Linked DNA regions of Arabidopsis thaliana. The protein of the gene in region 1 interacts with the protein of each later gene in a biochemical or structural test. Each region holds a gene or a part of one and is shown in the gene's direction. Other genes may lie near its edges. The genes, in order: CLE2 and CLV1.

Evidence for each region.
Region 2: the proteins of CLE2 (region 1) and CLV1 interact in a test that uses a peptide from one of them, tested with the Arabidopsis thaliana proteins (one study listed by BioGRID).

The regions. Positions count from the first base shown.
Region 1 is NC_003075.7:10,209,625-10,213,070, forward strand, and holds CLE2 (CLAVATA3/ESR-related 2), read left to right. Parts: upstream 1-1,952; 5' UTR 1,953-2,467; coding exon 2,468-2,695; 3' UTR 2,696-2,828; downstream 2,829-3,446. Other genes in the region: AT4G18501 (uncharacterized protein), read left to right, coding at 1-16.
Region 2 is NC_003070.9:28,462,724-28,468,823, reverse strand, and holds CLV1 (Leucine-rich receptor-like protein kinase family protein), read left to right. Parts: upstream 1-1,852; 5' UTR 1,853-2,171; coding exon 2,172-4,761; intron 4,762-4,840; coding exon 4,841-5,193; 3' UTR 5,194-5,480; downstream 5,481-6,100.

The DNA.
Region 1 (3,446 bases):
TAGAAATTTCAGATGATTTTTATATTTTGGAAAATGTTGTTTCCATTTTCGAATTTTGTATCCCTTTTAATTTTATTTTAATTATGGGTATATATCAATACCTTGCCATTAGCATTCATATACCACACAAGATTTATTTCTATGAGTATACTGGTTTCTCAATAGTTCTGATTCTTGCCGATTATTTGTTCAACGTTGGTATCATTATTATATCTCTGATTTCAACGAATGGGTCTGAATATTATATACAGTTTTTAACTATAAATTTGAGATGAAAATAAAGTTAGTGATTGCAATGACAATCCAGCTACAGAAATTGTCTTTAGGATCAAGGCCTGTCCAATAATAGTGATGGTCCGAATTGAAAATATAAAATTTGGACCATTTTATCTTTCTTTCAGATAATATTAACTCTAAACACACACAAAACCCTCTTGATTATTTTCGACAACTCCTAATAACTTAAAAAAAAATAAAAAAAAATCAAGTTTATCCTTTTAACAAGTGATAGTCAAATAACAAGTTTATCTAGAAATGGGATTTATATCGAAAGTCATACTGATGCAAAACAGAGAAGACCGCAATAAAGAGAGTGGCATTTGACACATAGAGGATAAGAGCATTTTCTTCAATCTCCAGAACAATTAATTCTTTCCCAAACTTATGGTATCTGATCTCATATAATTGTTCACAGAAATAAAAAAAACACTGAATATCACTTTTTATATAAAAAAAAGTATATTCCTTTTATATGTCACCACTAAAATGCACCGTCAAAATAAACGTAACATATATATGTATTCACTGATGTGTTGCATGCATAGTTTTTTGGATAAACAAATTTGCTGACACCATTTACAATGAAATACGGATTTGGATAAGTACTGCTTCATCAGTTAAAACATAATTACAGAGTAAGAAGTGTGATTGGGTCGAAACTTATCCTTTTAAATATATCACTTAACCTCGACTTAGTGGAATCTTAAACTACACTACTATCCACACGTTCTGACAAAAGGTATTACAGATTATAATACCTTTTCTCGATGGTTGAAACTTTTTTGAATATTCTTCTTGTAATGAAATCTCCTGATGAGTCAAATGTGTAAATAGAAAAAGAGTGAAAACCTTCGACTCACCAATACTAAACCAATACAAAACCCATAAGTGCACTCTGCCTTTGACTTCATATTTTCATATTTCCTTTTCTATCTTATTGGACTTTCATGAATCACCCTCCTCGTCCATTATCATTACCTCGTATTATTAACTCTCTCACACGACACACGTATTATAATATTAGTCTATGCGCATACATATACTAATATATAATGTCACTGGATAGGGACGGTCGAGTTATAAATGGTGTAAGGTTTGGTATTGAATAATTTTGCTTTATCGACATTACGACATATATAATTATGTGATTATAATTAGCACTTGAAGCCGTCTCTTATCTCGCTCTTTTTGACGGTCCAATGTAAATACGTATATAAGATTCATATCTTTTTTAGTTTTGATGATGTACTAACGTAAAACGATCGTATATGAATGGATAGAACTTTATCCTTCTTGTTTCGGGGATAAATGGATAGAACAATCCATATTTCAGGGATAAATCTTATTTACTTTTGATCGTGTAAATACTTGTTTCGAGATTAGTTGCTTTTTATTTCGTAATCGTGGTGACCTAACAAATCACCGAGTTTTTTAAATGGATGATTGCATGCATGGCTCAATAAGGGTTTGACAATTACTAACACACGGTGACAAAAGATCTTCTTTCAAAAAAGATTCGATTGGGAACTTTTCTATGTTCAAAATGATATAATCTCAGATAAAATATTCAATTTACTCTATAGATTTACACTGGAAAATGCATAATAATCACTGCAATATATTCACTAAGTTTTTTTTTGGGGGGGGGGGGGGGGATTAGCATAAGATCCATCCAAGAGACAAGGCCACCTAACAAATCAACGACAAATGTTTAAAAATGGAATGCACATGAGTCTAAAAAAGGGCTTGGCCAATCCTAGGCCCTAACACAATTCAGAATATCTATATATTAAGATGTCGATCGTATTAAATATGTGTAGTACACCGTAATGCGGCGATCTTTATCATTCTTTGTACTATTCAAAGTACCAATTTGCATTTTGCAAGTCGCAAGAGTCACTTGCTCAGCTGGTTACAGATTAAATATGATTATTATAGAAGTTTTGGTGATGAAGAAAAATGTAGGCAACGAGAAAAACCGTCCTTGGTGACAACTCATGCTTGCACTCAAGCCTTAAGCTAGCTAAACCTATCTCGCGCACTACTAGAATTCAAATAAAACTCTATAAATAGAAACCCTCATGAGATCTCTTCTTTCCTCATATACACTCATACACACCACGTGAACAATCTATCTCTCTTTCTATTGCTTTTCTATATATACAGAAACTAATTAATTGTATCTGTAATGGCTAAGTTAAGCTTCACTTTCTGCTTCTTGTTGTTTCTTCTGTTATCCTCAATCGCCGCTGGAAGCCGCCCTCTTGAGGGGGCTCGGGTCGGGGTGAAGGTGAGAGGCCTAAGCCCTTCTATCGAGGCTACGAGTCCGACTGTAGAGGATGATCAAGCTGCGGGTAGCCATGGGAAATCTCCAGAGCGGTTAAGCCCAGGAGGACCCGACCCACAACATCACTAGTTATTTTGTGTTTTTCAATTTCTTCGACATGTTTATTACTTATCAATAATTTGGTTGCAACGAAGCTGTTTTTCTTTTTTGTAATAAATTTGCGAATTTACGTTTGTCATAATACTACAAAATTAGTTACAGTTTTATTGATACGTTATCGTACGTTAACTAAATATTCTAAATTTGGTGATTTTACGTTTCAGATTGTATCATTATTATTCACCTTTTACTTTTGATTATTATTTTGAATTTTTACTATACATATAGGCTATAGCAACGCGGTACGTATGACGACGTTGATTTAGATGGTCTTGCATGTACGTACACATGATTCTGTTTTACGATACATCGTGTTTTATATGCCGATTGTGACTTGTATGTTTTAAACAAACAAATATGTATAATTTCGTGTGTCTTCTTAACGGACAAAACAGTAGAATGGAACGTACAATTTAGATGTGGTCGATCTAGATACATGGTCAATTGCATACATATATAAGATTTCGTCCCATAATTACTTGTGTTTTAAATTGATCGTTATCCCGTATGACTTATTCAGTTATTTGGTCGTCGAAACCATGTTACTTCGTTTTTTTTTTTTTTTTTAGGTAAAGCATTGTAAAATATTGATATCTATGAATCGATGCAGTTTACGGTTTACATATTTAATCAAACTGTGTAAACTTGAAATTTTCAAAATTCAACATGTCTATGTTGATTATATGTATGCCTACTTAACTTAAAGCGTTTGCTCCATCGA
Region 2 (6,100 bases), on another chromosome or scaffold:
GAGATGCTCTCTTCTTCATCACTAATTGACATCTCATTGTTTTAAAGGTTGCACTTGTACCTGTTGATCTGATTCTCAATCCACTTAAGTTAAACCAAATAGACACGAGAAAAAAGCACATTTATTTGTTGCTAAGTATGCATATTTTTCAGCGTTTACTTCTTAATCTAATGTATATCATAAGATAATATCTAAAAGAGAATGCACAAAAGATTATTAATATGAGAAATTCGCTGCCATTTAGGAAGGACCTTTATACCAATATACCGCAATAATAATAGAACATTGGTCCCCAAGTGTATGTCAACCCCAAGTGTATAGATTTCTTTAAAGATTAAAATCCCTTTTTGTTGCTAAAGCACCTGATATATTTTTCTATCAAACTAAAAAAATTGTTAGCGGGATGAAGATATATTCGCCAAGAACCATAGTGCTTGTATAACGGCAGACCATTAATTCACAACTATTATTATTTTATTGTTAGATTGTTGATAGAATCGATTTTGATTGTGGCAGAATCGATCTTGTAAAAACTGCTTTAAGGTGCTTACTTATAATTAAGAAAGATTCACTTATGTAAGTTAAGCATATTAATCATATCATTCGGCCTAATTCATTAGGAATATTTTGCTATTCGTTTTGCCATCATTAACAACAAAATTGACACGTTTTCAGCCAAAAGTATTAACAACTAAACCTAAAACTTCAAACATTAAATAGTTTTTAGTATCTTTAGTTTCAAACTAGTGATTTGTCCTAATATCAACACTACGAACGAATTTATATACATTGAACTTTTTTCTGAATCACCGATTACAAAACGAATATAATTTGGTATCGGCAGTTGCTATTAATTTGATCGGTTTGGACTTTGGACTAATCACGATCAAATCTTAAATGGACCGAAGTGAATAAATCCCTAATGTTTTCAAGAGAGTCACACGAACGAAACAAAGGTAAAATATGAACATAGAGCGTGGGGACCTTGAAGCAGAAGGTCTGTATGGTGACAGACCGGTGAGTGGAGTGTATGAATGAACGAGAAGTGAGAAGACAAAATACAAGAAAGAGCGTTGACTTGGAAGTTAAAGCCAAAAAAACCACAAGGGGCAAATTTGTCTCTTTAGGAAAAGGACACAGACAGACTTTCTATACGGGCCAATTAGAAAAATAGGCCCTACTTCTAATTAAAGCCCATTTACTTCTCTCCTTGTCTTCTTATTCCTCTTTTCTCCCCATCACGTGACGACGATGCTATAAACGCCGTCGGATTATATAACTGGTGCCGTTGACAAGACGGCGACAGAAGAAAGAAAGAAGAAACCACAGGCTCTAGGGAACGTAACGTTATGTCCTGTCTATAGCATTTATAACGGTCAGATCAACGCCGTTTAGATAAAGATCTGTCAATGTTAAAGAAGAGATGCATCTCTACACCGTTAAATTTAAAACGCCGTGAACCTCTTATCTATTGATTTTTGTTTGATGAAGCCAAAACAAATCGTGTCAGAAGACTTATCAGAGAAGAAGAAAACGACGACGTTCCCGTTTCTCCATGTCTAATAAGTGTAGTAGTGGCGGCTACTAAAAACTCTAAAGTTTGACTCCAGTAAAACTGCCTTTCTAGTGTAATTCCAGTGATTTTAGAGTTTGAATAGTGTGTGACCAAATTTGAAAGTACAATCTCAGCAATATTATTGATCACTCGTTATAAAAGAATCGAATGTAAAAATAGCCAATGAGAGACTGAGACGTATGTGTTTGACCATAAGTCGTATAGTTTGTATCTATCTACCTGCAAGATCAGCAGATGGTTCTCTGATCAATTGTACCTTAATTATCTTTTATTTTCGTAAAATTTCTCTATTCACAAATGATAAATCTACTTAAGACAGTAACCATAACAAGATTTACAAGATAATTTGAAAAATGAACACATAAAAGTATTTTGGCGCATTATTTTTAATAATAACAATATTTATGTAAAGTCACATAAAAGTATATATTCGCTCACAAAGTCTTACGGTATTTAGAACAGTAGTACCACATCGATTCTCTTCATCTTCTTCTTCATAATATGCCATTGTTCATGTCTCTGTGTCCTATCGCATAACACTCACGCTATCTTATTATTTTCTCTCGCTCTTTCTCACTGAGAGGACACTAAAAAAATGGCGATGAGACTTTTGAAGACTCATCTTCTGTTTCTGCATCTGTATCTATTTTTCTCACCATGTTTCGCTTACACTGACATGGAAGTTCTTCTCAATCTCAAATCCTCCATGATTGGTCCTAAAGGACACGGTCTCCACGACTGGATTCACTCATCTTCTCCGGATGCTCACTGTTCTTTCTCCGGCGTCTCATGTGACGACGATGCTCGTGTTATCTCTCTCAACGTCTCCTTCACTCCTTTGTTTGGTACAATCTCACCAGAGATTGGGATGTTGACTCATTTGGTGAATCTAACTTTAGCTGCCAACAACTTCACCGGTGAATTACCATTGGAGATGAAGAGTCTAACTTCTCTCAAGGTTTTGAATATCTCCAACAATGGTAACCTTACTGGAACATTCCCTGGAGAGATTTTAAAAGCTATGGTTGATCTTGAAGTTCTTGACACTTATAACAACAATTTCAACGGTAAGTTACCACCGGAGATGTCAGAGCTTAAGAAGCTTAAATACCTCTCTTTCGGTGGAAATTTCTTCAGCGGAGAGATTCCAGAGAGTTATGGAGATATTCAAAGCTTAGAGTATCTTGGTCTCAACGGAGCTGGACTCTCCGGTAAATCTCCGGCGTTTCTTTCCCGCCTCAAGAACTTAAGAGAAATGTATATTGGCTACTACAACAGCTACACCGGTGGTGTTCCACCGGAGTTCGGTGGTTTAACAAAGCTTGAGATCCTCGACATGGCGAGCTGTACACTCACCGGAGAGATTCCGACGAGTTTAAGTAACCTGAAACATCTACATACTCTGTTTCTTCACATCAACAACTTAACCGGTCATATACCACCGGAGCTTTCCGGTTTAGTCAGCTTGAAATCTCTCGATTTATCAATCAATCAGTTAACCGGAGAAATCCCTCAAAGCTTCATCAATCTCGGAAACATTACTCTAATCAATCTCTTCAGAAACAATCTCTACGGACAAATACCAGAGGCCATCGGAGAATTACCAAAACTCGAAGTCTTCGAAGTATGGGAGAACAATTTCACGTTACAATTACCGGCGAATCTTGGCCGGAACGGGAATCTAATAAAGCTTGATGTCTCTGATAATCATCTCACCGGACTTATCCCCAAGGACTTATGCAGAGGTGAGAAATTAGAGATGTTAATTCTCTCTAACAACTTCTTCTTTGGTCCAATTCCAGAAGAGCTTGGTAAATGCAAATCCTTAACCAAAATCAGAATCGTTAAGAATCTTCTCAACGGCACTGTTCCGGCGGGGCTTTTCAATCTACCGTTAGTTACGATTATCGAACTCACTGATAATTTCTTCTCCGGTGAACTTCCGGTAACGATGTCCGGCGATGTTCTCGATCAGATTTACCTCTCTAACAACTGGTTTTCCGGCGAGATTCCACCTGCGATTGGTAATTTCCCCAATCTACAGACTCTATTCTTAGATCGGAACCGATTTCGCGGCAACATTCCGAGAGAAATCTTCGAATTGAAGCATTTATCGAGGATCAACACAAGTGCGAACAACATCACCGGCGGTATTCCAGATTCAATCTCTCGCTGCTCAACTTTAATCTCCGTCGATCTCAGCCGTAACCGAATCAACGGAGAAATCCCTAAAGGGATCAACAACGTGAAAAACTTAGGAACTCTAAATATCTCCGGTAATCAATTAACCGGTTCAATCCCTACCGGAATCGGAAACATGACGAGTTTAACAACTCTCGATCTCTCTTTCAACGATCTCTCCGGTAGAGTACCACTCGGTGGTCAATTCTTGGTGTTCAACGAAACTTCCTTCGCCGGAAACACTTACCTCTGTCTCCCTCACCGTGTCTCTTGTCCAACACGGCCAGGACAAACCTCCGATCACAATCACACGGCGTTGTTCTCACCGTCAAGGATCGTAATCACGGTTATCGCAGCGATCACCGGTTTGATCCTAATCAGTGTAGCGATTCGTCAGATGAATAAGAAGAAGAACCAGAAATCTCTCGCCTGGAAACTAACCGCCTTCCAGAAACTAGATTTCAAATCTGAAGACGTTCTCGAGTGTCTTAAAGAAGAGAACATAATCGGTAAAGGCGGAGCTGGAATTGTCTACCGTGGATCAATGCCAAACAACGTAGACGTCGCGATTAAACGACTCGTTGGCCGTGGGACCGGGAGGAGCGATCATGGATTCACGGCGGAGATTCAAACTTTGGGGAGAATCCGCCACCGTCACATAGTGAGACTTCTTGGTTACGTAGCGAACAAGGATACGAATCTCCTTCTTTATGAGTACATGCCTAATGGAAGCCTTGGAGAGCTTTTGCATGGATCTAAAGGTGGTCATCTTCAATGGGAGACGAGACATAGAGTAGCCGTGGAAGCTGCAAAGGGCTTGTGTTATCTTCACCATGATTGTTCACCATTGATCTTGCATAGAGATGTTAAGTCCAATAACATTCTTTTGGACTCTGATTTTGAAGCCCATGTTGCTGATTTTGGGCTTGCTAAGTTCTTAGTTGATGGTGCTGCTTCTGAGTGTATGTCTTCAATTGCTGGCTCTTATGGATACATCGCCCCAGGTTAGTTACATGTCAACAACATTAGTACTCACCAAAATGATATATGTTCTGATTATCATTTTGTTTTTGGTTTGCATAGAGTATGCATATACCTTGAAAGTGGACGAGAAGAGTGATGTGTATAGTTTCGGAGTGGTTTTGTTGGAGTTAATAGCTGGGAAGAAACCTGTTGGTGAATTTGGAGAAGGAGTGGATATAGTTAGGTGGGTGAGGAACACGGAAGAGGAGATAACTCAGCCATCGGATGCTGCTATTGTTGTTGCGATTGTTGACCCGAGGTTGACTGGTTACCCGTTGACAAGTGTGATTCATGTGTTCAAGATCGCAATGATGTGTGTGGAGGAAGAAGCCGCGGCAAGGCCTACGATGAGGGAAGTTGTGCACATGCTCACTAACCCTCCTAAATCCGTGGCGAACTTGATCGCGTTCTGACCCAAGCAAGATAAATATGAAAATAAGATGCGAAATGTGGTGATCATTTTTTGGGTGTTCTTATTTATGGTTTCTAATACTTTCGGGTTTGTATATTTGTTGTGTTTCAATTTGTATATTACCTCTTTATGTGTTATTATCTCGAGTATGTAATGTAATCAATATGCTTATTGCTTGATGGCTTTAAACTTTAGCTAATTCTCCGTTCAGAGTGTATAAAATAAAAGAATGTGAGAGCTTTGACCTCTGGATTTAAGTCTAGACTGTTTAGAATATGTGAATTAGGGTCATATCTAAATTCAGGTTTGTGTTAGCTTCCGACAGTGTCATGTTGCAATCTTGACCTTACTTACAAAGTATTTACCAGCAGATGGCTCGGAAAATAAAAAGGAAACACATCTGATAAAAAAAAACACGGAATCAACAGACTAATGGTTGATTAAGAGATTGGACTCGTACTCTGCATTTGGAATAATGACCAGTTTCATTGAGTTCTTGGGGGTCATTCACTTCTCATATTTTTACGAGCTAAGAAAATCACCTCAGGGTCATAACATTGTAGTTTCTGCTCTTGAAGCAAAACACACATAAACTAAGAAACCGGAAAAATTCACAGAAATCAACAACCAAGAAGCTTTAAAAGTTCATGAACAACAGAATTCAACCTCTATAATGTGCATTTTCCCACAAGATGAGGATGATGCTGTGAAGCTAATTCTATCCATAACTCTTACCTCCATTCATAGAGCAATTCAGAGAAGAAGACAAGGCACATAGTCACAACTTATAAACGGGTGTGAGAAGAAGACAAGGCAAATTAGTCACAAATTCATTAAGGTAGAGAAACAAGATCCTTCATTACTCTGTTTTAGTCTCTTCATTAAGAATCATATACAATTTAAATCAC